Linked DNA regions of Rhinolophus ferrumequinum. Each later gene encodes a partner of the first gene's protein in a complex. Links are inferred from orthologs where the notes say so. Each region holds a gene or a part of one and is shown on either strand. Other genes may lie near its edges. The genes, in order: CASK, LIN7A, DLG1 and NRXN1.

What was found.
Region 2: CASK (region 1) and LIN7A share a complex: the UniProt entries of both Homo sapiens proteins name them as parts of the brain-specific heterotrimeric complex. The link is inferred for Rhinolophus ferrumequinum from reciprocal best matches to the Homo sapiens genes CASK and LIN7A.
Region 3: the proteins of CASK (region 1) and DLG1 are in contact, whole or in part, in an NMR structure (PDB 1RSO), measured with the Rattus norvegicus proteins. The link is inferred for Rhinolophus ferrumequinum from reciprocal best matches to the Homo sapiens genes CASK and DLG1. Residues at the interface, in XP_038955489.1 of Rattus norvegicus: Gly339, Ala342, Ala343, Arg345, Ala346, Val347, Gln349, Val350, Ser353, Leu354, Glu356, Ile357, Leu360, Thr361, Asp367, Leu368, Phe370, Leu371, Ser373, Val374, Phe375, Asp377, His379, Leu380, Thr382, Leu383, Leu384, Asp385, Leu386, Tyr387; in NP_036920.2 of Rattus norvegicus: Arg4, Asp7, Thr8, Arg10, Ala11, Leu12, Leu14, Leu15, Tyr18, Lys21, Leu22, Glu26, Asp27, Leu30, Ser33, Ile34, Arg36, Val37, Ser39, Ile40, Phe41, Ser43, Leu45, Phe46, Leu49, Ile50, Gln53, Glu57, Val58, Leu60.
Region 4: the proteins of CASK (region 1) and NRXN1 are in contact, whole or in part, in a crystal structure (PDB 6NID), measured with the Homo sapiens proteins. The link is inferred for Rhinolophus ferrumequinum from reciprocal best matches to the Homo sapiens genes CASK and NRXN1. Residues at the interface, in NP_001354650.1 of Homo sapiens: Pro500, Met501, Gly502, Ile503, Thr504, Leu505, Lys506, Ala516, Arg517, Val549, Gln553, Leu556; in NP_001317021.1 of Homo sapiens: Lys468, Glu469, Tyr470, Tyr471, Val472.

The regions. Positions count from the first base shown.
Region 1 is NC_046284.1:92,023,679-92,031,401, forward strand, and holds the start of CASK (peripheral plasma membrane protein CASK), read left to right. Parts: upstream 1-4,722; 5' UTR 4,723-4,864; coding exon 4,865-4,923; intron 4,924-7,723. UniProt on the Homo sapiens protein: Multidomain scaffolding Mg(2+)-independent protein kinase that catalyzes the phosphotransfer from ATP to proteins such as NRXN1, and plays a role in synaptic transmembrane protein anchoring and ion channel trafficking.
Region 2 is NC_046293.1:74,413,300-74,421,138, forward strand, and holds the start of LIN7A (protein lin-7 homolog A), read right to left. Parts: upstream 3,018-7,839; 5' UTR 2,761-3,017; coding exon 2,679-2,760; intron 1-2,678. UniProt on the Homo sapiens protein: Plays a role in establishing and maintaining the asymmetric distribution of channels and receptors at the plasma membrane of polarized cells.
Region 3 is NC_046285.1:51,451,071-51,458,197, forward strand, and holds the start of DLG1 (disks large homolog 1), read right to left. Parts: upstream 3,006-7,127; 5' UTR 2,606-3,005; exon of another isoform or gene 2,595-2,605; intron 2,336-2,594; exon of another isoform or gene 2,254-2,335; intron 2,134-2,253; 5' UTR 2,105-2,133; coding exon 2,086-2,104; intron 1,390-2,085; coding exon 1,258-1,389; intron 1-1,257. UniProt on the Homo sapiens protein: Essential multidomain scaffolding protein required for normal development. Recruits channels, receptors and signaling molecules to discrete plasma membrane domains in polarized cells.
Region 4 is NC_046296.1:35,472,929-35,480,489, reverse strand, and holds the start of NRXN1 (neurexin-1), read right to left. Parts: upstream 3,013-7,561; 5' UTR 2,881-3,012; intron 1-2,880.

The DNA.
Region 1 (7,723 bases):
AGGAGGGTAAATGATTAAACTTACCAGTGTTGATAGGCTTGTATTTCATATTGGTGACTTATTAATCACTTGACCTTTTCCTCAGTGCACTTAGCATAGTAAATTATGCTTCTTTCTATTGAGCATTGGGTGACTTACACGACTCTTTGCAACTTAGCCAGATCTGGGCTTAATATAAGTCACCCATTGGACACACTGCAGCTGATTGTGCATTTTTACCATGTAGTGTGACAGTTTAGTGGCAGCCTGGAAAGAAAGCACCAGGAAATACAGAAAAGGAAATTTTAAGGAGGAGGTACAAATTTAATTCCCCACTTTACCTTCAAAATCTCTCATAGCTAAGTCAGAAGGAAAAATTCTAAATGCTGTGTGAGATTTAAATTTGTTTTTTTCTACACAAAATATAGCTCGTAGAACTAGTTTCAATTAGTAGAAATAAATCCAATGCCCCCTTTTCTGGCCCTGCTCTCTTGATACTTCTTTAGCTCTGATACTATTGACTCTCCCTTCATCTGTGAAAATTGTATTTTTTCTGTTATGCATTTTCTTCCCAAGAATCCAACCACTTTAACTGTTTCTATTGGATCCTCAATCTCTTCCTAATTATGACTGATTCTCTAATCCAAATCAAGAAACATACAACTATTTATTTATTTAACAAACACATACGGAGTACTTACTATGTTCCAGACACTTTCTAGATTCAAGAGTTGAAGGAGAAAGGCTATAAACAAAACAAATAAAAGAGAATTCCAGGAAGTGATAAGGGCTATGAAGTCATTCATTCATTCATCATTCAACAAATGCCTTTTGAATACCTACTACATACCAAGCACTGTTCTAGATGCTGAGAATTCTCTTTCATAGACCTGAATTGGGCCTCTCCATGGTGAGCAAGATGGGACAAGGAGTTGGAGGCAGGAGCCCAGTGAGTAAAGTGAGGCAACATCTAAGTACGGGTTGAGGGTGGAGTTGATTGGGGTGGAGACTGAAGAAGTGGAAAAGAAAGGCACAATCCAAAAGAAATTTTGAAAGAAAAATTGACAGAGTCTAATTACTAGCTGAACATGGAGAAAGTAGAGTGCTAAGAAAAAGCCAATGCCAGCGCTTGGGTATCTAGGAGAACAGGGAGCCTTCCCATTATTCATTCTGCCCTTCTCCTATCAAAAAGTGTCCTGACTTTCCTTTGGGGACTTTTCCCATCCCTACATTCTCAGCCATGAGATTGATTCTCATGCCCAGCTTGAGGGTGGGGCCTGATTGGTTAAATGATTCAGTGACTCATTCCGTGGCTACAGAGATTGGTTCAGGGATGGTCATGTGCCTTAATACAAGGCAAGCAAGAGACAATAAATCCTAGAACATGGGCAAGATCTACTGGACAAGACTCCTCTTTTCCTGGATGCTGATATATAAGAAGGTGAAGTCTGGAACAGTAGCAGTTATTTTGCTACTTCAAGGGGAGAGCATGGAGCTTTGGGGGCCACCTTGCGGAACCTAAGGATGAAGGCAGTACCACAGAATGCACAATGATGAGACTGGGAGAAAGTGGATTTTCAGTGACATCATCTGAGTCCTAGATCAAGCCTCACATGAAGCTATTATACATCTCAACTTTTCAGTTACGTAAGCCAAGGATTCTCTGTACTGTTTAAGCTGGTTTAAGTTTTCTGTTACTTGTAACCAAAAGAATCCTGACTATTGCAGTCTCCATTAGCACATAGCACAGTGTTGAGTCCCCAGGAGGCCAATGAGCACTTGTGATCTTAAGTGGCTCAATGAATGGATACCTTTTGATTTCATTTTGAGTTACAACATGTTCAGTGTATACAGGCACTGTGCTGTGTCCAAAGGCAATCTTGTTTCTACTGTCAAACAAAAGTTTCCAGTGACTTGTTCACTGATATTAAAGGAAGAAGGGTAAAATGAATCTTTAGACAGAGGTTTACAGAAGGAAACACATTTGTATTCATATCCTCTTCTGCTCCCTGAAGTGTTCTTTTGCATTTGTTATGGTTTCTCCACCCTAGTGATGAAGTCAGCCCTGGCTCCTTTTTTCTTGTCAGTGAGCTTATTCAGAGGCCAGTGTTAGGGCAGTGGTTCTTAATTTTTAGGTGTACAAGAGTCACTAAGGGAGCTTTTAAAAATATAGATCCCTGTGTTATCCTCCAGGAGATTTAGATTCAGTAAGTCTTGGGCAGGGCCCAGGAATCAAAAAGTTTTAACGTTTTTCATATGATCCCAGATGACATGGATGCAGTTGTCACTTTGAGAAACACCACTGACTTAGGTTGGGTTCCTCCAAAGCAGATCCTGATAAGGGGATTCATGAGCAAATGATTTATTAAGGAAGTACTCCCAGGAGAAACCTATTAGGGAATGAAAGAGGTAGGAAAGGGAAGGGGAGGGAGCTAGGCAAAGTCCTGCGGAGGGTAGCTGCAACCTGATCCCACAGGGAAGCTCAGGATGTAAGTAACCTCTCAGAGTTGTCCCCTCTCCTAGGGAAGGGAGCTGGGCTTTCACATTCCTGCACTAACAGCCAGATGGGGCAGACCTAAACTCCCAGGCACTTCCATGTAGGCAAAGTGATTCCAGTAGCTTGTGGGAAGTCCTCTGAAGTCACAGGCATGGGCTTTGGAAGCAAAAACATGCTGCAGCTGGGGGAGGGGCACAGAGAAAGGTAAAAAAACGGATAGGAAGGAATTTGAGTGGAGCACTTACAGTGTCAGCTCCAACCATTTAAGGGATTTCAATATTTAGTACAGGAATATCTACATTTTAAATGTAACTAAGGGAGAGGATAGTGTGCACCAAATGAAATGTGGGACCCTCAACAGAAGCAATTCTCAGGCTCTAAAGCTCCCTTCTCTAGAGAATGCACAAGCACATTGGGAAAGGAGGAAAGTCTCCTCATACAATTATATTTTCTCCTCTGATTTGCATTTTTTTTAAAAAAAGGTTTAGTACTCAAATCCTTAACAGTGGCAAATCTCTCAGCCTCTGGAGGGAGTGGTCAAGGATGTACATAAAACGTTTCTGAAGAGAAAATAGGCTGTGGGTCTCCACCCACCCCACACACTTTGGTAAATACTATGTTTTCTTTTTCTTTTTTTAAATTACCGCACTAAGAATTTTACCAGATGATTTCTAGAAGCCGACTTATGAACTAATTGGGCACTTCTGCTGTGCAGAGGAACAAAGACTTTTTTTTATTGGTCCTCAACTGAGCCATATACCTGTCTGATGGCGTTGGCTCATTCCGCACATGCTCAGTGGAACAGAAATCTTCATATTGAATACAATCTAGCACAGCGGCAACACCCAGAACCGCACTCCCTGGTTGACCCTGTGCATCCACTCCCTCTAGTTGATTTTTTATCCTGAATTGTCTAACATTTATAGGGAGTGTAGGGAGCAGAGTAGGTCCTGTGGGCTTGACGGGAGGTGGGGAGCAATATACAAAGGGGCTTAAAGCCTGTTTGTTCCTGCCTTCCTGACCTCTCTCTAGGCTGTCTCGAGAGGGGGCAGGAGCTGGGTAGATATTTGTTAAGTTTGGGCAGAATGCGGGAGAAGCTGTCCCTATAAATTGCCATTTGTTGTTGCACACCTTCGTGGACAGTTTTTGTTTGGTCCGGTACTTGTAGGTGGACGACCCCCCTTATCCAGCCCTCCTTTTCATTAAAGAACGACAGAGTGGCATTAAAAGCATTCGCCGCCTGGCACAGTCTAGAAGAGTGACAACCTCTCCACCTCTTGTTTTCCCATTCATTAGGACCCTTTCCCACAAAAACCGGGAAAGGCTTCCTGTGGTTACAAAGAAGGGGGTTAGAGCGACTGGGATTCTGAGCCTCTCGCCGCAGACAGCCAACAACATGCGTTCGGTCGTGGACCTTTTGTCCTGGCCCCTTCCGCGGCTTGGTCGCGGAGGTGACGACCCGGACCAGCCACCGCCTAAGCAGCTGCCACCCGCGCGCCCCGTGGGCCAACCCCCGCCCCTTTTAGAACCGCGGCACCCGCCCGTTCGCCGTGACGTGACCGGCGGCGCGCGCATGCGCCACTCATCCCTGTTCCCTTTCCTTGGGCCACCGCCCCCCGACGGGCTGGAGTGGGCGGGGCCTGTGGGTGGAGAGGCAGCGCGGCTGTAGCGGGAGGAGGGCGTGTGTGCGCCGGGCGGGTGCGCGGGGTAGGCGAGCTGGTCGGCTGCTGAGGCGGAGGAGGAGGAGCTGAAGGCGGCGGCCACGGCTCCCGCCTGCAAGGAGAGCCAGTCCCGCGAAGCCCCCTCCCATTCCCAGGCGGGCGGCGGCGGCGGCGGCGGTGGCGGCGGCGGCAGCGGGAGGAGTAGAAGGAGGAGGGAGCGTCTCTGCCGCCGCCTCCTGGTCCCCAGCGCCGATCTGCCGCCGCCACCTCCCTCCGCGGCGATCCTCCCTCTATGGTCCTGCCGCGGCCCCTTCTGTAGCCCGAGCTGCCCCGCGCCGTGCCCGAGCCAGCCTCAACAGAGGGAGCGGTCGCGACCTCGCGGCCCGCGCGGGCTGACGAGCGGAGAGCCGGGCCGCGCGGTCCCAGAAGATTCGCACGCCGGGCAGCGCGGCCCGAGCAGCGCGAGGAGCAGCGGGCGGGCGGGCGGCGCCGGGCCCGGGCCGCCCTCGCTCCCGCGCCCCGGCCCGGCCGCCCGCGCCGGGGCAGTCGCCCGCAGAGGAAGGCGCCGCAGTCTCTGGGCCTCGCGCCCCACTCGAGCGTCCTCAGTACCGGGGGCTCGCGAGTCCTGAGGGGAGGAGGCGAGCCAGGGGCCGGGCACTGAGCTCTTTGGCGCCCCCACCCGCGTTTTTGGAGCCCTCCACGCTGCGGCCGCTGTCCCCTCCGGACCATGGCCGACGACGACGTGCTGTTCGAGGATGTGTACGAGCTGTGCGAGGTGATCGGCAAGTGAGTCTTCACGCGAGGGAGCGGGAATGTGGGAAAATGCATTTCAGTGATGCCCGGGTTCTCCCGTACCCGCACCCGCTCCGGGCCTGCCCCCTGCCCTCCCTCACCTCCACCGCCCTGGTCTTCCTCACCCCCAAGCATTTATAGACGTGTACCTGGACCTCCTGCCGGGCGGGGGTCTGGGGAGTTCCCAGCGATCCGTGGAGGTGAACGAGCCGAGGTCGGCCACCCCTTGAGGCGTGGGGCCGGCTGAAATCTGCTGTCTGCATTTTATCTGACGGTTGCACAGGGACGTGGCCGAACCGATTTTATAGTTGCTTCCTGGGAACAGTTGGGATTATTGTTACCTTGTGTGTAGCACAGACCATTGACAAAAAAAAGCAGCTTGCATTTCCTTTGCTTGCGTGGAAAGAAAGAGAACGTCCAGGGTTTTTAATTGTGGGGTGTGTGTCTATTGTGCAGGATATTAGATAGATGTCTTTGTGTTCACCCCATGCCCGGATCGGAGGGGGTCATTTGAGACAGGGTACGTTCAGTTTCAGCAAATTCCTCACCTGGTATAGACGAACGTGGAAAGAGTTGGGGGGATCCGAATTTTTAATGCCTCGTTATGCAATGACTGTTAAATCAGTGTTCAAGGCTTCCCTCGACTGTTGTTGGGATGGTGGTTAGCGTGGTAGAGCCGTCTGCTTTGAGTCACCGGGCTGGTCTAGAATATAGAACTGACAGTCCAAATGCTCATCCTTTCATCTGTGTTGTATAATTACACTAGGGAAAAGCAGGGAATCAGATTAATCACAGTGCTGATTGAGAATTAAATCTGCAGTTCCTCATCTAATTGTCCATTCCTTAAATCTGTTTTGAATAGTTTCCTTTTCATTCTTGTCAAACAGTATTCCAAGTGCACAATCCTGCTAATTTGCTCGTTTGGGAAATGCTGGCAATCTGAAGTTGATTTCGTAGTTCAACGTGTATTCTGTGGGTTTTGAAGTTGAGATAAAATTTAAGAGCAATTCTTGCTTATTTTTTAAGGATTACTAGATAGCTACCATTGAAATATTTCACCTCTTTTTGGAAGCGGTGCTTTATTGTCTATTTTAAGGTCTGTAGTTGGGAAATGAAACGAAGATCTTAGAGCAGTTGGCTCTCTTTTAAGTTGTCTGCAGGGCTGGATTTCAATTTAAGTGCTGATAACTCATTTTTTCCCTTCCATGTTGAGGTATTACAGTGTTTCCTCACATGGTGAAATTGTGGGTAGAGCTTGCTGCACACTTTCCTCAGACCCAGTTGATAGGAGGACATGTTACTCCTTGTCCCTATTGTTTGTTACATGACCAGCCTGTCTACTATAAGAATATCCAAATGTGCCCCTGGTGAAGTAATTGTGGAAGTGCTCTAGAGCAGCGCTGTCCAAATGATATATAATGTGAACCACATGTAATTTTATATATGTAAATTTGGCATATGTAAATTTTCTAATAGCCATATTAAAAATATTAAAAACAAATAGATGCAATTAATTTTAATAAAATATTTTATTTAACCCAATAGATCCAAATTATTAAGATATTTTACAGCCTGTCATACTCAGTCTCTGAAATCCAATGTGTATTTTACACTAACAACACATCTCAATTCTGACACTACGCTACATTTTCATAGGAAATACTTGATCTGTATTTAGGTTTCATAAAATTTGCATTTGCAAAAGTAGATTCACATACCCAAGTTGTTCCAAACATACCTAAAAGTTTTCCAATAATGGATTCAAGTATCTTTCTAAATTTAAATTTAAATTAAATAAAATTTAGTTCCTTAGATGGACTAGCCACATTTCAAGTGCTCAGTAGTCATATGTGAATAGCACAGTTCTAGACAGACAAATACGTAACAAAAAAAAATCCCTTTGGTTTCTTTATTCTTAGCACCCAGTGAAGGTGAATTAGGTGCTAAGCCCCCAATGATTGTGTCTGTATGGGTGAATGATGTTTGTTATGTCTTAGTTATATTTTATTTAAATGAGCCAGCAAAGTCATAATTGGAATTTGTGAGATTAAAATGTTAATTATATTGTGGTGATGGAATATAGCCATCATTGAATCAATGTTAGTTACTAGTTCTGATTCCTTAAGGTCTGGAAGAGTGACGATGTGATCTCTTTGAATATCGAAAAGAAGTGGTCAGCATCGCATTAGCACAACCAATATTCTGCTGACTTATAACTGATACAATATTCTCAGGAAACACCTCTGATCGAAGTAAATTCATCTCTTCTGTTGCCTCAGAGCTGCATAAGGAGGGAGAGCAAGCTAATTTTGAGGTGATAGGTGCTCTATGGATACCTTAACTAATGTGAATGTGAAATCTCATTCATATCCTACAAAATCTGACTTGGTCAGTGCCATTTATGTCATTCCATGAAATAATGAAATTCAAGGTAGCCTTTGTGGGAAAGCATGTAATGATAGTGTTCCTCACCCTGTGTAAAGGTTGAAGGTTTCTCCGGTAAATTGTCTCAGCATATATTGATCTGGAAATTGAAATTCACTTGCGATTTTCTTACAGGAACCTTGACAGCATACATTTTAACTTAGAATTTGTTCAACTCTGGATTTAAACAGAAAGGCCTTGAAGATGTTCATTTGTACTGAAAACCTTTTTGTTGACTTCTATCCAAGTTCTCTGGAATTGTGATTTTCTTTTATGCCAAATTAGTATCACAAGTTGGTTTTGACCCCTAGGTCTTAATAAGTTTAAATTTTCACTGAGATTCTTTAAAATGGATTTCACTTTTCAAGAC
Region 2 (7,839 bases), on another chromosome or scaffold:
GACAAGTGTATAGGGAAAACGAAAGGTAAAGAACATACTGGCCTATGTTCTCCCTGCCATCCTTCCCAGGGCCAAAACGTTGTGAATCTATGAACTGCACCTCAGTCACTACTAAATCCCTACATTTTAACAGTGCTTAAGTTACTGCAGTCCTTAGTTCACTGACACTAACTTACATTAATTTGTGATTTTCTACTGTAATCAGGGACTATGTCAAGCCCTGAGAATACAAAGATGAGTTTAGAAATGGTCTCTGCCCTCCAGGAGCTCTAGTTAATCAGGAGACAGATGCAACAGAGTGTGAGAAATGTTTTGATGGGGCCAAAGCAGCAAGTGACTTCAGAGCACAGCAAAGGGCATCAAAACAACCCGGGAGAAAGGGGTGATCCAGAAAATCTTCCAGTAGGAGACCAAAAACTGAGTCCTAATTATAATTAATCAAATGAAAGCTACACAGCATCAGAATCATGTAAGCCAAACTCCTTATGTAGCACAGAGGAAAACTGATGCCCAAGGAGACTAACTAACTTACTCATCCAAACTGAGTATCAGAGTTACAACTAGGACCCAGATAAGTATTATAGGGCTGCCTGTTTTAAGAGACTTTCCTTTCCTTTCCTTTTATTTCAATTTAATTTAATTTAATATTTTTGGTAGGAAATTGCGGCCAATAACCCATCATCTATAAATTACAGACTGCAGTGAGCTGCTGGTGAATTTATTCAGATACATCCACAGTCTCACCCAGCGTTGCCTCTTGAGCTACTTTACTGCCTGAAACTGATCACACTGGGAAGGATAGGTAGTCTGGCTGTGAACAAGAACAAACTTGAAGAATGGATCTTGGTCAGATTGTACTTCCTTTCCACAACTGAGCGAGGCATCTAAGGGCTAAGGTAAAACCAAAAAGGGAAGTATTTTCAGTAGTAGGCAGTAGTATAGAAAATTGCTCAGGTATGCAATTTTCCTGGAGTTTTTTTTTTTCTTCTTTTTTTCTTTTCTCCTAACGTAGTCGTTTTACTTGAGATATTTAAAGACTGATTTAGTAATGGGACAATATAAGAGCTCATTACATTAAAACAGAAATACTTAGGAAATCCATAATTTCTAATAGCTTGCCATCTGTTTGGCTCTCAGCAGCAATGGATTTGTCCTGTTTAGTGCAGATGATGATATCTGGGTGAAATCATGGATTATACAATGGATTTCTGAGCTCTTCAACTACTTACTGTTATTAATTTACTACTTTGCAAATCAACATTTCCCAACCTAAAATCAATTTTTTTTTCAACTCTTACGCCAACTAAGGTTGCTATGGGCACCACATAACATCTGTTCTGGCGCCAACAGATTGCGTTAAAGTCACCCACAATCTCTCCAAATTAAAAACCTCATCAAGTTCACTGGCTTTTTCACTGTACTCGCAGCAGGATGCTCTTTTGCCTTGCCTCACTGTCCAGTTTAATCCACTAGAAAGACTATGTTTAGAGGCACATCGAACTAAATCGTTTTCGTCTGAACACACCATTTCTAAATGGCCGCCCAGGGTCTTAAATTCGGCCGCTGCGGAGGGGGACAAGCAGGTGTCCTCCGCTGCAGGGTCTTGGGACTAGAGCGCCTTCACAACTGGACGTCGGGAGCAGATAGGAAACCAAACACACAGGGACAGGTATAACCTTTCATGGGTGCAGCAGAGAAACCCCGATCACAGCAGAGGACTCCATCCTCAGGCAGGGGGAGGTCCTGGGGAGGAAGCAAACTCGCTTTCCCCATTCAAGTCAGCAGGACGCACAGGGTCACAGGTCAGAAGTTGAATTTCAACCCAGCCTGCGCTGCATCCCAGCGCCTTCCGCGGCCCGGGCACCGCGGTGGCACCGGATAGAAGAGAAGGAGGATGGCTGGGGCAGGGGAAACTGAGTTGCCACTGCCAGAAAGCTGGCGGCGGCGGGGTCAGATGCGACTCCCGCAGCCTTCGGAGCGCGAAGCCGGGAAGAACCCGGCTCCGTGGCCGCGATGCTGCGCCCTCGGCCGGGGCACGGCTGCCTGCGCCCCGCGTTGCCCTTTCGGCGGAGGGCAGCTCTCCACTGCCGCAGCCCAGCCGCCGGGCGCCCCAACACCAGCCGCCCCTGGTTGCGCTCCGTCCGCCCCAGGGTGGCAGCCTAGGCACCCATAGCCGGACCGACCATCGCCCCCCGGCGCACCGACAAACTTCCTTCTTCCTGAACCCCGGGCCGCGCTGGCTGGCTGGCGGTTTCCCCGCCAGGCTTTCCAGGTCTCGGGTGTGTAGGCGCCCCCGCCCGGCTCGGCGAGCTTCCTCCCTGCCCCTCCGCAACCCCGAGCCCCGGGAGCCTAGCGGTCCCCGCGCCTCCGCTCCAACAAAGCCAGCGGCCCAGAGGCGACCCGGCGAGGGGCTGGGAGTGGCTGTGGGGGCGCCAGAGTCCGGCGAAGGCACCGCTGGGCCGGGCGAGTGCAGCTTGAAGGGGCAGCGGGGACGTGGCGGGCAGAGAAAGGGGAAGAAAGTATCCTGCTCTCGGCGCGAACGCCTAGCCTTCTCCGCTCGTCCTCGCTCGCTCTGCTCCCCCTGCCCGAGCGCGTCCGCCTGTCCCGGTGGCAGTTGGCAGGGACTGAGGAGGTGGCAGAGGGGACTCAGTGGCCTGACCGGCGAGCCGCTCCCTTACCTCTGTCCAGAGTAAGCGGCTGGACCACTGTCAATGTCGCCATGTCTGCCGTGAGAGCCGAAGTGACGCTCGGCTTCAGCATCAGCAACCGCTTGTAGTGAGAAAAAGAGGAGGAGATTGGGGGCGGGGGTGGAGAGGGAAGACGGAAAGGAGGGGGAGGAGGGGGGAAGGAGGGAAGGTGGTGGTGGTGGTGGAGGAGAAGAAAGCTTGGATGGGTTGGCAGCCAGATGGAGACGCAACTGTTCCGCGGCAGGCCAGACCTTCAGATGCCGCGTGAGGCTGAGCAGGTATCGGGGAGCGACTGCGTCGCGGGTCTGGGAAGAAAGGCTCTGCGCTAGAACTTTGCTATTCCACCCCAAGGAGCACCAGACGGGTGTAGCTGGTGTGTTGCTTTCTTTCAACTTTCCACGCAAATAAAATGGTCAGAGTATACGTGCGCCTGGGGGAAGGGAAAGGATTGAAACGTGGTATGGGGGAGGGAGGTAGAAAGATGAATGTTTTTCAGATTAAGAGAAATTGTCAATCCTGTAATCCCATCACCTGGAGAGAAAATGCTTCTAGTTCAGAAATGTTGGGATTTAATTATAGTTGCTGTTAATTTCTGTTAAAGTTTCTTTTTTTTTCTTTTTTTTTAGAATGTTGACTTATAACAGTATACAAGATAACTGACTTAAGGCCAGGTTCATCAAGTGGTGTCCATTAAGTACCTGAGTATATTGCCTAGAAAATAACTTATCTTAAAAGCAAACTTCTTAAATATACTTTTAAATAAAAAACACAAAGAGACGTTCAGTCATTACACTTGTAAAACATGTACCTACATAGCACTTTTTCAGGTTGATCTATAGCCAGAGGTTATTCAATTGCCACTTATTAATTAGCATGTGTGTCAGGAACTGAGCTAGGAGTGTTACATTCCATGTGCCATGGCTTGACTTAGGGATTCAACACAGTTCCTGTTTTCTTGTAGCTCATGATCTAGTGGGACATGATGTTATTAAAAGGGTGACTTTAGAGTCAGTTGATCAGGATTCAGTTACTAGAACCTTCAAATACCGGCTACGACCTCATCATCCCAACCGACTGCTTTTACTATCTTGCCATTGTTGAGACTCTCATTTCCTGATAAAGAACTTAAGAAGTTGTGTAGCATTTGAGGTTTTGCTCCCCAGCCTATGTTATCAGTTTGGTTAATACAAACTCTTATAAAAATTTTTAAAAAAAGAAATTAAGAAGTAAATAGAAATCTTATATAAACAGAATGGTAATGACTGTGGGTTTAGGATTATAAATGACAAAGCTACCTCCACCCTCTTCCCTCTGACAGAACAGAATTGTTTTGGCTAGCAATATATTGTTTTATAGCAAAACATTGACATATAATGTATGTCACTGTCTTCTGATCACAATATGGATGATTTCTTAAGATCTTTTCCATCCATGTTCTACATTTTTCAAAAAGAAAGCAAGATTTCACCAAAGATTTGAGAAAGTCAAAGACGATTGGCCATACACCTCACAGACCTGAAAAGACATCCTTAAAATAATAGTTCAACATGCCTATATTTTCATTTAGTGTTTTAGAAAGAACCTGATCTTGAAATTCAAATCTTAGTTCTGTGCTCTTCAGAAATCACATAATTTCTCCTTTATCCCCAGTTTCCTCATCTATCGAATAAGGGAATAAGCTCCACTATCACTGAGATTCAGTAAAGTGAGCGACCTAACTCTACCCTGCAATCTCACTGAATTTTCTGAGGGTCAGATGAGATTATGCATGTGACTGTGCTTTGGAAACAGTAAACTATATATAAATTTATTCATATGACAAACATATATCCCACCTGAAGGGTGTGGCAAGCACCCTACTAGGTGCTGGCCTTGCAAAGGTTTACACAAGACGTGGCCCTCTCCTCAGACAGTGGGCTCAGTTCAGGCTGGGAGACCAATAATGAACTAGCTAAGAGAATTCCATGCAGTAAGTGCTCTAAGCACCACAGAAAGGAAGTGTTGTGGGAGAGAGGTAAAAGCAACAATTCTGCTTGATTATCATTATTCATATCCCTTAAATCACACAACAGAAAGAAGTTGAATTGTGCACAATAAAAGCAGATTATGTTCCAAGGTTTTGCACAAAATATCAAACCTCATTCAGTAATTGAGGATGAAAAGGACATACAAATCCCTTGCCCACTAATGTAGTTCTTTTAAGAACTTACTTTATTATGAATATGGATTTGAATGGCATGATTCATAAGTCTAAAAACCATAATTGTACCTATTTCAACACAAATCCCAGATTGTGATATCCACAAATGTAGGCTTTTCGTCTTTTTGTTTCCAGATGTATCCCCAGCACCAAACATTTAATAGCATGTTTCTGGACATATGCCTTGAGCTCCCTAACTGAAAATTTATTCTATCATTCTTCTCTGTTGACTCTAGAGTTTTTGTAAGGATTGAAAGAGAAAGTAAGAGGAAGAGCAAATCACCATATACTCATCAGTTATTATTTCTAGTAGGGGCAAGTTCAATGCCTTTAGTTTATGCCTACACAGCTATAGAAAATGAATAATAAACAATTCATCATCTGTTAGAATTCACTTTTTATGAAGTATGAATTACTATTGTCTCTACAATAACATATGTGGATTTCTATTTGAGACATGCAGTGACATAAGAAAATTTCCGTACTCTCTTCTTTTACTTTAGTAGATGTGACTGACCATTCTTAGGTCTCTTGAATAATTGCGTGGACCACTCCTGTACCAACCAGTGTTTCATCAAGGTCAATATACTTGATGTACACATGTGTATGTTGCTGTGTTGATTGTGTATTAATCAGAGAATGGTTAAAACACCTGTGATTATACTTTTAGCAATTTGACTACACAATCACTACAATTTTTCATTAAACTCTGTGTCGTAATTTAGTTCATTGGCACTTATATTTTTAGTGGAATTCATTAATTCAGTAAATACCAACCACTTTATATATTCCAGGCTCGGTGCTAAGTTGTTTTCTCTTTCCTTTTTTTTCAGCCCAGAAAAAGTCAGTATTGTTATTCCATTTTATAGATAAGTAAACTGAGAATCAGAGAGTTTAAGTAATTTGCTTAAGAATAATAACACCTGTATTCAAAAGCCCCTGTGCTGTTCACTAAAAAACATACTTCATTTTGTACTATTGAAGATTTAGTGATTTCAGCCTTTTATTTCAGAGTTCCAGGTATATACCTATATATCTATATCTATGTCTGTATTTATCTATCACCTATTCATAGATATCCTTTTCCTTTTTTATTATGTTTGAGATATACTCAAAGAGAGGAATGTATAGAGGAAATTTAAGTCAAAGCAGAAAAGAATTATGATACTGGTTCCATTCTATATAAATATAGGTTAATATTAAAATGACTACCTACCTTGAAATATAAAATCTGTTCTTGTTAAAAAATTTACGTTACGTTAAGGTCTGTTTCACTTAATTGAATCTTTTAAATTATGTGACAAAATTAAGTGAAGGTTTGCATAAAACATTAGCATACTAAGAAAATGTGTTTAGTTAGATTATAAATGGAATATAATAAGCACAGTTACGTATGAGGAAAATAGCACCTTCAAAGTGGAATTCTTTCAGCCTTTGGTGTTAGAAATTGTTTTTGACTGATTCAAAATATCATGTTATCTTCCTTAATTCTCACAGCTTTGTCAAAATAGCACTAGAATAAGATGCAGTGCCAACCAATACTTTGGAATATGAATGTTTGTGGATTTTTTTTTTTAAAAAATCATCATACATAGAAAATCTTTCTATGTTTATTTTATCCTTAGATTTGTTCTGACAACTACATATGTATCTGCTCATCCAACAAATACATAATGTACTGATTATATGCCAAGCACTGTTTTAGGCACTAGGATTGCTGTGAGCAAGAAAAGGCCCTGGTTTTGCTGGGGAGAGACAGTAAACAAAGTAATAAGTAAACAAGAAAGAGAACAATGAATGACTAAGTACTGTGTGAAGAATGAAAAATTTGACAATTGAATTGGGTTTAGAAAAATGTCAGGATTACAAAACACAGAGGTAGGGAAACGGCATTCCTAGGAGCAGGAGAGTAAAGCCAGGGATGGTGCATAAAGCCAGAGTAGGCATGGTATGTGTTTGCATAAAATAGGCAGTATAAGAAAAACAAGACTGGGGTGACCAGTTAGCTCAGTTGGTTAGAGCATGGTGCTGATAACACCAAGGTTTCAGGTTGAATCCCTGCGTGGGTCACTGTGAGCTGAGCTCTCCAAAAAAAAAAAAAGAAAGAAAGAAAGAAAAAAGAAAAAAGATACGACAACCATTGAGAGTCAGGTAGTGAAAAATAACATAATTAACAGAAATTTAATGAACATTTTCATGACTTACTGTGTGCCCATCATACAATGAAATGAAATATACAAATACAGTCTGGACTAAGAAAAAAAACTTCTCTTGTAGATCTACATTAAAAATTACTAACATCAGAATGAAATGAAGAGTTACTAATTCAGAGTTGGATGTTAGAAAATTAAAGATGAAATAAAAAATTAAAAGTCAATTCTAACTATTTTTTATTTCTTTCAAAAGAAAGAGAAAAGAACTTTGAGGGAAGAAAATCTGAAATCTGAATAATTATTCCTCGGTTGCAGGGTCTTATTTCCATTATTTTACATTACATGCAAATCGTAAGTATAATAATTAACTTTTACTCTGAATCTGCCATAGGCAATAGCACATATAATAAGTGCAAAGTCTTTCTAGTACTAGGGTGCTTTATTTATGCATATTTAACTCATTGAATATAAAATTATGTTTTTGTTTCATTTTTGAAATGAATCTTTTTTTTTCTATTTTCACAGTTAGAAGTTAGATCTTTTTACAATGAAATTTAAATTCAAAGCTTACAATTTTATTTCATCCCAACCTTACATTGGCAAATACCATTGGGAACGCCTAAGAGATATAAGAGAGGCGAGATAAAAATGGTTTTTAAAAGTGATACTGAATTCATCTTTTTCTCACATCTACTTAGGAGATATTGCCAAACTTTTAGAACCCACAACTTTTAATAGTTTAAAAAATATTTTGATTACCATTTCACCTTAAAAAAATTAATATATTCAATCTTGAGTC
Region 3 (7,127 bases), on another chromosome or scaffold:
GAAGATGGGTGACAGGTACATATAGCAGTTCATTATACTGTTCTCCCTATTCTTGCAAATGTTTTTTTAAAGTTATAATGTTAAATTTTTTTTAAATTGTTCAGGTGTTTTGAGTGGTCTTCTTTAAAACCTTCTTGAATTCTAAAACAAATTCAGTAGAAAGTATCAATTTACCACCCCAATAAATTAAAAATAAATTAAAAAAAAAAGTATCAATTTACCAATAAGTTATCTGACAGGGTACACTAAGTTAAAGGTAGTCCTTAAATCATATCAAAAGTTATTTTATCAATAGATATATGTACGCCATATCTACTTGGAAGTTACTGAGGAAACAACTATAATGCAATGAAGCATACATCCTATTTTAATATGTTATACAGTCAATAACTAATTAAAAAAATATTTCATTCTTAGAATTGAAGGGGACAAATTTTCTACTTCAATGGTTCGCACACTTTTCGAGGCACCTGGAGAAGAGGCCAGAGATAGATCACCTTGTTTTATATAATGGGGATTGGTTACAAAATATAAGATTTTGTTTTAAAAAAGGATCTAACTACTTTGAAAAAAGGCTTAGTAACCACTGTTGCATTGCACCCACATATTACAGTTACCTAGAAAAGATTAAATGATTTGTATAATGTTATTTGATTAATGACAATGTCAGGAATAGAATTCAGGACTTGTAACTATTTGTCCAGTTCTCCTTTAAAACAATGCACCATCTCAAATTTAAGTTACAATTAAGAATAAAATGGTTTCAATTTTCTTGTCTATAAAATAAGATTGGACAAAATCATCTCTAAGATTTTCCAGATCTAAAATTCTGACTCCCAGTTTAAACAGAAGTCTATGTTAATGCAACGAATGTTCTTACACATAGCAAAACTCTTCAAACATTTTCAGGCACTCCAGAGAAATTCAAGTCACAGAAACAAGCTAACAGTTATTCAGTTGTTACCTTTTGGGTTTGGAAACAATTTTGTAACTACTCCCTTTTTTAGTTGTTAATGCTAGGATGTGAAATATTGTTTTCTAAGACTAAAATAATCATACTGAAAGCTTTTTCAGTTCTCAGATATTTTTGAAAAGGATATTGGCCTATCAAAATATACAATTCACTGGATGTTAAAGTTACTGAATGCCTCACAGAGAACTAAGTACATCACTCTCTTAAGTCTTAAATAAACAAATTCAGAGGAGCATTAAACCTAGCTGACACATAATGGTCACAAATAAAATTTTAATTCCCACCTATTAAAGCCTGAAAGAGGTTGCTCTGAAATATGTTTATAACTCGTTCTATGGAACTTCTGAGCTGTCTGTCTTCAGTCTGGCTTAGTTTTGAACGATATTCCTCCAAAAGGTGCAATGCTCTCTGGGTATCTGAGAAGAAAAATAGAGTCTGATTAAAATTATATATTTACAAGAAAGTATTACACACTAGCTATGTAGCAAATGATTCTCTAAGACAGCTAAACAGTTCCCAAAATCCATCTCGTCAATAGATGCTACTATGTTCATGTATACACATATTCCCTAGAATGATCCAAAAAAAATTTAAACATGTCACAGTAGAAAAAGGAGGAAGGTGAGTAGTTTGTAATAAATGTGTCTGGTAGGTAGACAATAAAAGATAATTTGATAAAAGTATTAGTAACATAGTTTCAGCTGATCTGATATGCAAAAGCAGATTATCTACAATTGGTCATTATAATCCAAAGCTTAAATGTTTCAAAATACTAGCTCTTAGCCAGTTCCACATTTGCTCACAAAAGTGTTTAGTAAGAATGATAATGAAATATTAAAACACCAATTCAGAGTTTTTAAAGACATTGCAGAGGGGAAAAATTGCCTCTTGATAATCACTAGAGAGATGCCAAGGTAAAAAGTTTGACAAACATACAGGTGTTTCCATCTTCTGAATGACGTGAGGCTTAGATTCCCTAAGTAGTAAGGCTAGCCAGCACTGTGCCATCCCATCAGAGTTCCACAAACATTTTTAAAATACAGCAATGAGAAAAAAAAGGCATACAGAAAAGCAAGTGACATCCACAAGAGATTTCCGAAATAAATTCTCACCTTGCTTCCGGACCGGCATTTTTCTCCAGAATCAGGAAGAGTACACACCTTTAAAAACACAAAACAGAAAGGAAAAAGAACTAAAGAAGAGAATAGAATCCTGGCTAAACTAGGATTTCCCCCTAAATCTCAAATCGAAAAACTCCCAGCCGTATTTGAAAAGCTCACCTGGCAAAGTTTTCCCAAGTGAAAGGAAGGTCCTCAGTGTCAGTCAATTTAGACAAGGTTTTACCTAGGGGTGGGCACCTCTCTGCAAATTAAGAGCAGGCAGAAGTCGGCTTCCAAACTGTCTTCCAAAGCTGCCCCCTCTCCAAAGGGCACTAAATGCCTAGACGTGGGGCCATCCCTCCCCCGGCATAAGTATGCACACTCCCCACCTGCTACTGGCGGGTGTGGGGGGAGGAGTGAAGAGGCGCTCCGACCCTTAGCCCCCTAAGCCAGCAGAGGCTGTAAAGCGCTCCGAGAAGGGACCAGCGGGGCTCATCACCCCGCCCTACCCGGGCCCCTACCTCTCGCTTGCCTTTCTCCTGGCTTGCTTCCTCCGGGCTACTCCAACAGGGGCCGGACAGGGCAGCGGCCGCTCTCCACGACGCCCTGGTGCCCCACATGCACACCTCCGCGGGCCCCCACACCTGCGGCACCGCCACAAAGTTCCTGAGAGCGGCGTGCGCTCGGAGCTGGGGTGCGCTTCGATCCGACTCGGGGCGGTTCCCCCGCCCTGCTCCGCTCCACGTCCCCCCGCCCCGCCCGGGGCAAGGAGCTGAGCTGAGGGGGGTGAGGGAACGGGGGAGGAGCTCCCCTCGGCGGCCGCACCCCCACTGCCTCTTCCTCCTCCTCGGCCGATGTCGCCGCCGCCTCCTTACTCGCCGCAGCCAGCTAGCCCGCTCGCCCTCTTCCCTCCTAGCCGCCCCACCCCCGGAACCTCGCCTCCTTCGGCGCCCCCAACCGCTCTCCCCCCAAACTTTCCGCCAAGATGGCGGCCCCGGAGCTGGATTGCCGCGCCCCCACGTGATCGCTTTCCCGGCGCTCTCAGCCAATGGGAAGTGAGGAGGCGGCTCGCGCCGAGCCCCGGGCTCTCAGCGCTGCTACCTTTGGGTTGGAAAGGGGAGGAGGGCCGGGAGGGGCCTGGGGAACGAGAACGGGGACCAGGAGAGCATCCCAAGTGAACCCCCTCTCTTAAAGGGGCGCCACCGTAGAGGCTCTGAGGACAAAGGAGTGACACATGGACTCTACAGGTGGTCTGGGATGGCCCTGGCTGAGCCCGCCTTTACCTCGCCCTAGCCCACCGGTGTGTCCCTCTGTTCTGAGCGAGTAGCGAGCCAGACCCGGGAAGGTCGGAGTGTCTGAAGACAGACGTGACTTCACCTATACGAGATCCAAGACACACATTCCGAGACACCCTTTAACCTCACTAAACACGTGCTGTTTTCATCTCCGCGTCAGGAGAAAGTGCCTGACACCCCGAGGCTTGGATCCCCAACCAAGAAAAGCGGTCTCGGGGTGGAGTTGACTGTGCCACCCACGTTAGGGGCGGGAGAGAATGGGGCCTAGGAAGGGAGCAAGGGGGGAGTTTGGGCGGGGGGTGGTACCATCTCTGCACTATGTTCTACTTTGTACCGATCTTTTTAAAGTTACTATTCAGTAAAAGGTTTTGGGGGGTTGAATTAAAGAAGGGCACGTAAAATAAGAAGATTGATAAGAGTTTGAGGGTTTTACTAGAGGAGTTTTAAGTCTAAGTGATTAATTCAAAGCATGAATACATTTAATGATGGGAAGAGAAAATTCGTTCCTTCTTTCACTCTCCCATTCATTCATTCCCCCCTTGCCTGCGACACCTGCCTCGTCATAAGCCTCAGGTATTACCCAAGCTCAGGCGGCCCCTTTAAGAACTCACCTGCAGCCACCTCCTCTGAAGCACAGCCGCCTTAACTCGCATTGCTGGTTTAAGTTTCGACTGCACCTCCGAGCGGGACTGCGGGCGGGCCAGGACCCCGTTCAGGGGCTGAGCTACCCAGGTTGTAGAAAGAATCTCGCGGAAAGCTCTCCAAGTCACTGCCCAGGTCCTTGAGCCCCTTCTAGATAACAGGGACCTCCCTGCTCTGAGATCCAGAGAGAAGAATTTGCCCAAGGTCACCCACAGTTAGCGACAAAACTGGAAACACGGAGATTGTGTCTTTCAAAACCGAAAGACTCTTCCCAGTAAACCCGACAGCCTTTCACCGAGGCCATATCCTTGGAATAAAAAGGAAGTCTGGGGAACCTTGTACTGTAACCATTAACAGAAGTATAGTGATTCAGAAGTATAGTGACCACTAGTTTCACTTTGGGATTGCACCTTGAAATTCTAACTTGTGAGAACCCACCAGACCCACGCAGTTTAAGATAATGAAACCGAGATCCAGAGAGGGGAAGCAACTTGCCCAAGGACATATAGCCTAATCAGTGACAGCAGCCCAAAAGTAGTTCTCCTAGTTCCATTCCGGGCTCTTTCCACTGTGATTTTGGGGCAACTTGACAGTGGTATGTTGGTATAATGGCATCAAGCAACTGTTAAAGCAACATTTCATAGAAGAAATGGGATGGAAAAGTGAAAGGAAGCTCCTAAAGACAAGGAGCTTGAATAGAGGGATTTTTGAAATAGTGAAATGGGTTTTTTTTAATAGTGAAAATGGCTGGTGCCATGCATACTATTATTATCAAGATTTCATTGACAAACTGTGATTCTATTCTAAGAATGGAATCTTCAGAATTCAGGAAACAGAGGAAGGGATTTTGCCCTTCTCCTTAATATTATTCATTGCTCACAAGTGTTCACTTGCTAGGCAACGTAGATAGAAATAAATAAGATCCAAGCCATGCTCTCAAGGACCCCACAGCCTAGTAACAAATGGATGAAGGCCAGTGCAGCTTTTTCCAGGAGCCACTGAAAAGCCAAAAACAAAATTTGTGAGTTTTCAATGTCCTCCTTGTCCTTCCCTAAAAATAAAGGGGGGAGGAAGGAAGAGGAGACAAGAAGGCACGATGCCTTTTCTTGTCATCCTCTAGCCCCACGTGGCTGTCAGCATTATCCAAAAGTAAAAATGAAGCTACCCGCTTGTTCCACCCTTAGGGGCCAAGACAAGTCCCAGCCTAATGTGAGGGGCCTTTACTTCCCATTCCTCCTTTCTATCCATCTGTATTAGTTATCTATAGCTGCATAACAAAGTCCTCAAAGCTGTCACTTAAAACTTAGTAGCTTAGTAACTTAAACAGCAATAAACATTATCTCACAGTTTCTGTGGGTCAGGAATTCAGGAGGACCTTCGCTGGATGGTTCTGGCTTGGGGTCTCAAAAGATTGCAGTCAAGATGTCTATCTGGGCGGCAGTCATCTGACGCCTGAGCTTAGATTAAGGGAGAATCTTCCAACATGGCTCACTGACATAGCTGGTAAGTTGATGCTGACTCTTGGCAGGAAGCCTGTTTCTCACCATAAAGATCATTCTACAGGGTTGTTTGAGTGTATTTGTGACTTGGTGGCTGATGTCCTCCAAAGCAAGTGACCCAAGAGAGCAAGGCAGCAGCCACACTCTCATTTCCACAATATCCTATTCGCCTGAAGAGTATAATATCCCCCTGAAGAGTATAATACAAAGGAGGAAAGAATCACTAGGGGCCATCTTGGAGGCTGGCTACCACATCGTTGAAACATGCAATGCAATGGCATCTGGATTTTTCTAAACAACTTTTATTTCCTTGAAGTCTTCTTTACTTTATGCAGGTAGCATCTGCCATTGAATAGGATCCAATGTAGGATCTGATTACTTTTCCAATCTCCTCATTTAAAAAAAAATTTTTTTTTTCAGCCCCAAATTAGCTATCTCTCAGTTCTAAACCTTCCCTTCCCAAGCACCCCAACTAAGCCACACTTATAGCTCCACGTCTCTAACTCTGTCCTCTCCCCTGTTCACATTCCCAGCCTATCCTCTTCTGTAAGGTGCCCAGGTCCGCCAGACTTTACTGCATCTTTTGTTTTCACTCTGGCCGAGTGGCAGTGTGCTGCCTGTGCCAGGCAATCACTAAAAGGAAAGGATTTGATGCTGTCAGAAATGCTTATGCCAGTTTATGCTGCATGAAGAGGAACAGTGTTGAGAAAATGATGGAAGTGATTAAGCTGGTCAGACCTCCACAAAATGCTCAGGGGGGCATTTCCTGGCAGCACACTTTAAGAGGGATCTAGACAAACCAGCATCTGGAAAGAAGAGAGTAGCCAAAACGATAGGGAATATGGAACCTGGCCCCAGAGGAACAATTGTAGAATCTAAGGCCATTTCTTTGAGAAAAGAGAGGACCCCAGGGAACTTGACTTCATTCTTCAAACAGCCTTATTCTGTGTATTCAGGGGGCAGGACTAAAACTAATGGATGAAAATTACAGGGATATAGGAAGTTCCTCTTTAACATGATTTCTCAGAATTGTTCTAAATTCCAAAAAGCTGCTGGAAGGTGGTGGGAGTTTCCCATCAAGCAGAGGCTAAAGAATCCAGCAAGGCTTCCTTCTCAGAGGGAGCAAATACCCAGGCCAGCAAATTGGACTAAGTGACCTCTGAAACCAAAGTTCTAAGCACTTAAAACTTCAGTCCCTTCTTTGGTATCAGTACCATGTTATATACATCAAGAATCCATTCTACCCAGTTTAATTGATACTGGGATTGACCTCCTTCTGCATAGATAATTCTTATGAGAACAAAAGGTACAAGTTGAAACCAATTCTTTTTAAAATGTGGACAGTTGCCCATCTCCATGACAATGGGCACTGAACTCATGCTCTTTAATGGATGATCCACCCTCAAAATTTTATATTATGGAGTAATGGGTTCCGAAGTAGGTGTAGGACTAATAACCGCCTGCCATTTAAACTGGTATACTCTTATACTGGTATACCCCTTCATATAGTAGTCAATGACATATGAGATGAACTTATTGGTTATAACCTCCCACTTTGCAGGAGAGGACACTGAGAAAGGACAAGATAAATAACATGGTCTAGGACACCATTGCTAAG
Region 4 (7,561 bases), on another chromosome or scaffold:
GAAAACCTCAGTGTCCTCTCCCTGAGAGACAGTTTCATATGATAAGATGATGGACTGGATAATTATTAATGACTGAATGAAATTCCAGGAATGTGCCAGCATCTTCTGACTTATGTAATTGTTTTGCTGTGAGGGATCCATGTCCAAAGTCCAGGGGGTTGACTGCAATACTGTGTTTTATAAGATATTTGGTCTTCATCCATAATCCCTGGCTCACAGCTTCTCAAACCCTAGGACCTTCCTAATTGGGAGAGTAATCGAGGCATCTGTGGTTTTGTGAAGAAGGTGACTTTAGGACCACACCCCATAGTGGGGGCTGGTTGCCAGGAGACCCAACTGGATGACTAGAGCTTTGGAACTTTCCGTCCCACCATCCACTGACCTCCAAGGAGGGGAGAAGCCCTGGAGATTGAGTTCAACTGAGTGACTTAACCAATCATGAATATGTAATGGAGCTTCTATAAAAACTTTGGAGGACAGTTCTTTGGTCTTTCAACTTCAGAGAGATTTCACACTGGGGAAACAAAACACTTCCAAGTGCCACCATGCTGGGCCCAAACTCCACAAGGACAGAAGCTCCTTGGCTCCAGAACTTGCCCTTTGTATCTCTTCATCTGCCTGTTGATTCATCTTTTAATATCCTTTGTAAAAAAAAAAAAAAAAATTGGTAATCTCGTGAGTAAATGGGTTTTCCCCAGTTTTGTGAGCCATTCTAACAAATTAGTTGAACTCATGAAGAGGATGGTTGGACCCTCCAATGTGTAGCCAGTTAAACATAAGCATAGGGCCTGGGCTTAAGCTGGCCTCTGAAGTGTGTGTGTGTGTGTGTGTGTGTGTGTGTGTGTGTGTGTGTTGAAGGTGAGCGAGGGCTCTTAACCTGGGGAATCTGATTCTGCTTCCAGGTAAATAATGTCAAAATTGCATTGAATTCTTTGATACCCTATTTATGTTCAATAATTGTTTGTTGGTGTCGGGGGAACTCGTCCTCCATGTTGGAATTGGGTTGGAGAACCCCATTCATGCAGCAACTTAATGGAACCAGCAAAAGTCTTGAAAGTTTACTGTAGTACTCTTTCATTTTTTGAAAAAGCGTTTCAAATAAAGAACTGTGAAGTTAAAATGACCTCAAATAGTCTTCCTGCTCTATTCTCCACCATTGTATAGGACAATAATATAACCACTTTAATAAAGTATCAATTTCAATGTGCAATGTGTTTGAAAATTCTACTATATAAAACTGATGCAATTCAGGGCCTCATAATCCTTATAATACAAAAAATACAAAAAATAAAAATAAAATAAAAATACCCTTTAGGTCCCAACCCCAAAACTTCCCCACTAACATTAGGATGTGAATGCATTTTTGAAAGTGACAACTATGAGGATATTTTGTATACAGGCAAAACAATCTCATAGAAAAAGAATTAAACAATGCACGTTACGGGACATTAAAAGCACCTGAGTCATGTTTCCAGAGATACTCTCTATTAACATATTGGTGAACATCTCCAGTGGTAATTGTGTTCATCTACATTTGCTCTTTTTCTTTTGAAGCCTTTTAAGAAATTATCACCAACATGTTTTGCTGTCATCGGTCCACTTTTCCACTTCCACAATTAACCAAACCCTGGCTCCTTTAACTGTGACCAAAAGGCTAACATTAAGTTTATATTTCAGATTTCTTATTATTTTTTATTTCTCAAATCTATGCCAGGTTTGAACAATTTTCAAAAGAGCCCTGCAATGTGTAGGTTTTAAACAAGCTGTTTTAGTCTAATGAAGACAATAGTGAAACTCTGCAATAGTGAAAGAACCAGTATGACAAAATCTGCTTCTATGAATAACATGTCACAACAAGTACTTAGTAAGCAATCAAATACTTGGCTTGGGTTTCTTTTTGGTCATGGGACTTCAAAAGTATTTTCTTTAGAGAAACTCTTTCATAAAAAAATATAATAATAACAATAAAATAGAACAAAATAATAACCAAAAAATAAAGTATTAGTCTTTGAGGAAAACTATTATTTAATCAACACAGTATTTTTCACTTTATTCCCAAACCTGGACACAGGCATTCCAGTTCAGTATGATTTTTTTCTTTACGCATCCTCCTCCCTACCTCGTTTCATTTTTAGTACATTAGCTAGTTAATTTTAAAAAATATATTAACCAAATCAAATATATTAGGGCACTTAATCTCGGAAAATGTAAGTTTATTTTAGGAAAACATAACAGACCTGATTATTTTGGTGTACATGATTGGTACTACCTGTAAGCAGAAACATATTTACCCAGGAGATGTAATGGAGGGAAAAAACTTATCATGTTTGGATGTCCATATACTTTAAAATAACTGGGGCAACTTCATTCAGCACAGCGCCGAGAAGTAGAGCCAGAACTAGGGTGAGATATTTGTCTTTGGTCCAAAAATTAAGGGGGTGGGGCCCTGAAAAACTCAGTTATCAAGATGAACAATATTTTAGTGTACTATTAAAAAATAAAATCAATCCCAAAATATCCATGGTGAACAAAAAAATGAAAATGTAAATACTATGGAATTTTAATTTATTTAAGTATTATTTTACTTCAGTTTCAGTGTGGCTTGACACAGCATTGTATCCTGCTTTTATTATTTATTTTCTATCATGTAATCACCCCTGAATTTTTACACCCAAGGCAAGTGCCTCATTCAGCTTACCCCAGCCTTGGTCCTGCATCGGAGGCTTTCCTTTGACACTATTGAAAGATGTTAACAGTTTCAGAAAATACAGTGGAAATTCAAGCTACCTAATTTTTTCCCTCTCAGTTGTACTTCATGAGAGGATTTAACATCTTTATGCAGAGCATCTCAAACTCTAAAACTGAACATTATTTACTTACAGATATCCATGATCATCATGCACCCGTCTTGAACCAGATTCTGGGTGAATATGTGTAAGGGAGGGTCTAGGAATCTGTATTTTATAACAAATACTAAGTGATTCTGTTGCCTGTTGTCCGAGAACTATTCTTGGAAAAACAGTTGGGTAGACTGACAGCTATTCACTATTGCTTGTATCTGTTGGCAGAGGAAAGTGTGCTAACGGGAACTATGTGGTAAAAAAAAATGGCCAGAGACTGCGCCTGGTTCTATTCAAAACAATGCCAAAAAAAATTTAAAAAGACTTGGCATTTTTATATCTCTTTAAGTTTTCATGGGACTTTCACAGCAAGTGACTTTTATTAGATTATGCAGTTTGGAAATTTAGATTAGAATATATTTGATATGCTAAAAATGACAAGAATTGGTGAATGCTATGCTTAGGTGATTGAGACTTTAATTTTATTTACCTCGTGGGAAATTTATCATGTCAACTATTTTACATTTAAAAATATTATAACTGAGTAAGAATTACATTCAATAAATTATACAATGTGTAATAGGTCCATATGCTTATAAATAAACCTACAGATTCTTACAATGAGAGCATTATTTTTTTTTTATAATCTCATGAAAAATTAATGTAGGTTTTCTAATTTTTACCTCTTTTCATATCGTGTCAGCTTATTAGTGTTTATGATAATCATGTTCCAGGAACTACACATATTGAAATCACCTTGGCTGTTCAATAAAATTCAGATTCCTGGGCCAGTCCAATAGTGAAATGGATTGGAATTTTATAAGAAAGAAGCCCAGAAATTGAATTTTTAACTTTCACCCCCGCCCCATAAAATTCTGTTGTATCCTAAACCTGAGTACCACTGGGTGATAATCCTTCTGTTTGTGATATATACAGAGGGTGCCAAAAAAATATAGACACATTTTAAGAAAGGAAAAAACTGTTTTCAAATTGTAATACAATGAATGACGCTAGCATTCATTTGATCAATGCCATCTTTTGAGCGAATGTCATGCTATACATTGCTACTGTACTTAATTCAACTTTGAAAAGTAATACATAGGTAACATCTCCTAAAATGTGTACATTTTTTGGCATCCCCAGTATATGTACTATATATAAGGTTTTGGTGTAGTAATTTGGTGGGACGAGCCCGTCTTCCAAGGAGCTCTCTCATTTCCCAATTAGCCTCCAAATGCAGAGGAACATATGACTACTCTTCCCTATGTTATAAACAGCAAAATAATGAAATAGCACGACTAATAACAAGAGTAGTGGCTGAGCAAAAATTGTAGTTTGGATTTCTCTCTGGTGCTTTTTCTGGGGAGTTTCTGGTTTATGTTATAGCCTATGTCCATAAGTGTCCTTATGGGCATGAGAGCTAACATACAGAGCCAGACTAGTAATCATCTGGCTGTATATATAACAGCACTCCTGCTCTAGAAATGTACCTACCAGAAAGTACAGAAAGGGCTTGTTCTCAATTTTTGTATTACCAGCATCAATTACTTATTACTTTCCTTCCTGAAACTAAAACATTTAAATTTTGGCCTACGTAACCAACACAAGACAACAAGTTCCATGAGTGCACTGTCATCCATGGATGACACAGAGGCGCACTTCTGTTCACGTATCTATTCATAGGCTCCATATCACCCCTCCTTCCCTCCATATCACTGATTCTCTGCACTGTTCTCTCTCTCTCTCTCTCCCTCCCTCCCTCTTTCCCTCCGTCCGTCCCTCCCTCCCTCCCTCCCTCTCTCTCTCTCTCTCCATCCATCTTCCTAAACTTTGACTGTGCCCTCAATCCCTATCTCTTCCAAATTAAAGATTTATGATTTACTAGTTGACTTCACACATACAATTGAATACATTTAACAGACTTTCTAATGCCAAAGCTTCCCACTATCTTCAGTTAAAAAGCATAATCAAAGTCAATAAATACCATTAATCCAAAGTCACAAATCCAAGAACTAAGGTCTTTCCCTGTGAAATTCAAGTCTAGAAAAATCAGCTGCTTATTACACCCACTCAAAGTCCCATTTGAAAATAAAAGCCTCTGTAGTTAAGGCAACAAGAACACTGATAAATATTTCTTAATAGTCCTTGCACAGTTTTATCAGGAAGCACATTGCCTTTGCGCTATTAAAATTCTTATTACTCTATTGAAGAGGCTTAACAACATAAAAACAATAAGAGGACAGATCTAGCACACAAGAGTTTGAGGAACAAAATAAACGATGTCACGTAATGCCAGTCCTTCATGGATGATAAAGGAATATAAATGACAGCAGAAAAGAGTCACCATATTTCCATCTCACTTTCCTTAAGTATTGGTGGCAATTCATTAATTGTCTCACAAAAGTTTCTTATTATGAAATATACAACAATTACTTATGAGGACATATCATCATAAATTATTTATAAAGATACTTAGGACATTTGATCACCAGACATGTAGGAAACATATTTACATATTTAGCCTAATGCATAAATATGGACACATGAGTGATTCTTTTCTTTTTTTTTTTTGAATTGTTCAATCTTCTATCCCAGGAATTTTCGTTACTGTTCTAGATGAGAGATTAACTTCTGAGCCATAGAAACTAGCCCACATTTTAGTGCCATCATTAATTTCTGAATATCACTGATATTAGGTAGCCTTCTGAATAGTATTCAGAGGGGAAGATCAGTGGTTCCGAAAATGTCCACTAGCCAGTGTTACTTGGGTTCTCTTGTCAGACAGCTTAAAGGATAACTTGGGCTCTCCACCCCCAAAATAAGACTGACTTTTTCTGTTTAAACCATGCTTCACTTTCAAAAAATGCACACTGGTTTACTTTAAGAAAACAATTATTATTTAAATTGAGATGCATGCAAAAATATGATTAAAACCTCTATGTCCCTTCCTTCAACTTCAACAATTATTAATTCATGGACAATCTTATTTGTTCTGAGAAATTGCTGCATTACAGTTTCCTACGCTCTGGCGTTTACAAACTGCATCTCGTGGTTTAAGGTAACATGCTTCAGTGTCCCCTACATCTCATATAAATTAGAGGCGAGATCTAGAGACTTGATTAGATTGAAGTTAGGAGGTTTGGGGAATACTGCTTTATGGAAAACATTATGCATTTTATTCAAGAGCTGTTTGTCTTTCTTTGGGTAATGTTAGGAATTGATGATCATTATTTAAATCTATTATTTAATTAGAGGTTATAAAATAGTGATATTCTAATTCATTCAATCCTTGTTAATTTATTAACTGAAATAGTCCTATAAAGAGTAACTTTATTTTATGAACTATTTAGTTACCCTGAGTCATAGTTCATATAGAAAAAGCTGGACAAATGCCTGTTTCCTTTATTTTCCTGTGTTTAAAATAGTGCCTTTATTTCTACCATCCAAATGTCAACAATGTGTTATTTTTGTTTGCTTGAATTTTGTTTGTGTTCAATATCTTTATGATTCATGCGTTTAAATATTTTAATGGATTTTGGTCCATGGCTGTTATTATGCTAATTGATGTTCAAATTTTGTCATCTTTGGCTACTGACAGTCTATTTAGGTTGGTTCTCAATTACTTCCTGAGAACACTGGTATTGTTTTTGAGTTTCCTTGCTCCACAATCTTCATATGTAATATGTTTAACAAGCAATAGTGATAGCCAGTATGTTATTTCATTACAGGTAAAGGAATGGCAATATTCTAATTCTAGAGTATTCAAGAATGGTGATATTCTAATTTTATCATTCTTTCTTCATTTATTAGATGAAGAAATACATTCGCCATCAACTCTTTGGATATCTTGATGTATAGTTTGTATTGGAAAGGCAGAATACATATTTTTAAGGATATCTTCTTATTTATTGAGATTTTAGAATCTTAATTGGTTCTCTAGAAAAGGTCCCATAAGTGACTGTGGGAGAGTAAATTATTGACATTAATTCTCCATCCTATCTGTGTCTACATCCTCGCTGTTACTTTTAAATTCATTTTTAGTAGGAGCAGAGTGTGCTTCCCTTTCTTTACTTCGGGATCAGTCATGAGACTTTGGCTAAAGGCATGTTAGCAGCCATGAAGCAATAAACAGCTTGACATGTGCTTGTTTGGTTTGGCTTTCTTTCTGGCCTTCTGTCATTATCACAAGAGGAACATATTTGCTCCTGACCCAAGGAAGATAACAAAAATGCAGGCGGGAACTGGACCCCTTCTGCTGCTTGGAATCAAGCCCAGGCAAACCCAACTAGAGCAGCTGACCTCCAGGAGACCTCAGACCCTGAGGAAGAATCCTGGATTTTGGCTTAAACCATGGAGTTTTGGGGTGGTTTACTTCACAAGATTATTGGTAATGAATGACTGATATAGTGACCAGTGAGAATTTTATAGTATTATTAACTGATAGATCTTAAGAGGTTTGCTATGTTTCAATCCGCTTATTTTATTATTAGAATATTAGTCAATGTCTCACTTTTATCCAGTAAAAGGAGTCTCTTCAAACTGCCTCCTAAATCTGTTTGATCTAACAGTAATAGTCTGATAACTTTATTGTTTTCTGTTATAACCAGATTTCCCTGCCTCATTTGTACATTTTCTGCCTTCCTGCCCCAGGCCTGGATCAGCCATTAACCTAAGAAGCCCGGTATCCTTTTAATGTGAAATGTTACTTACACACAACAATG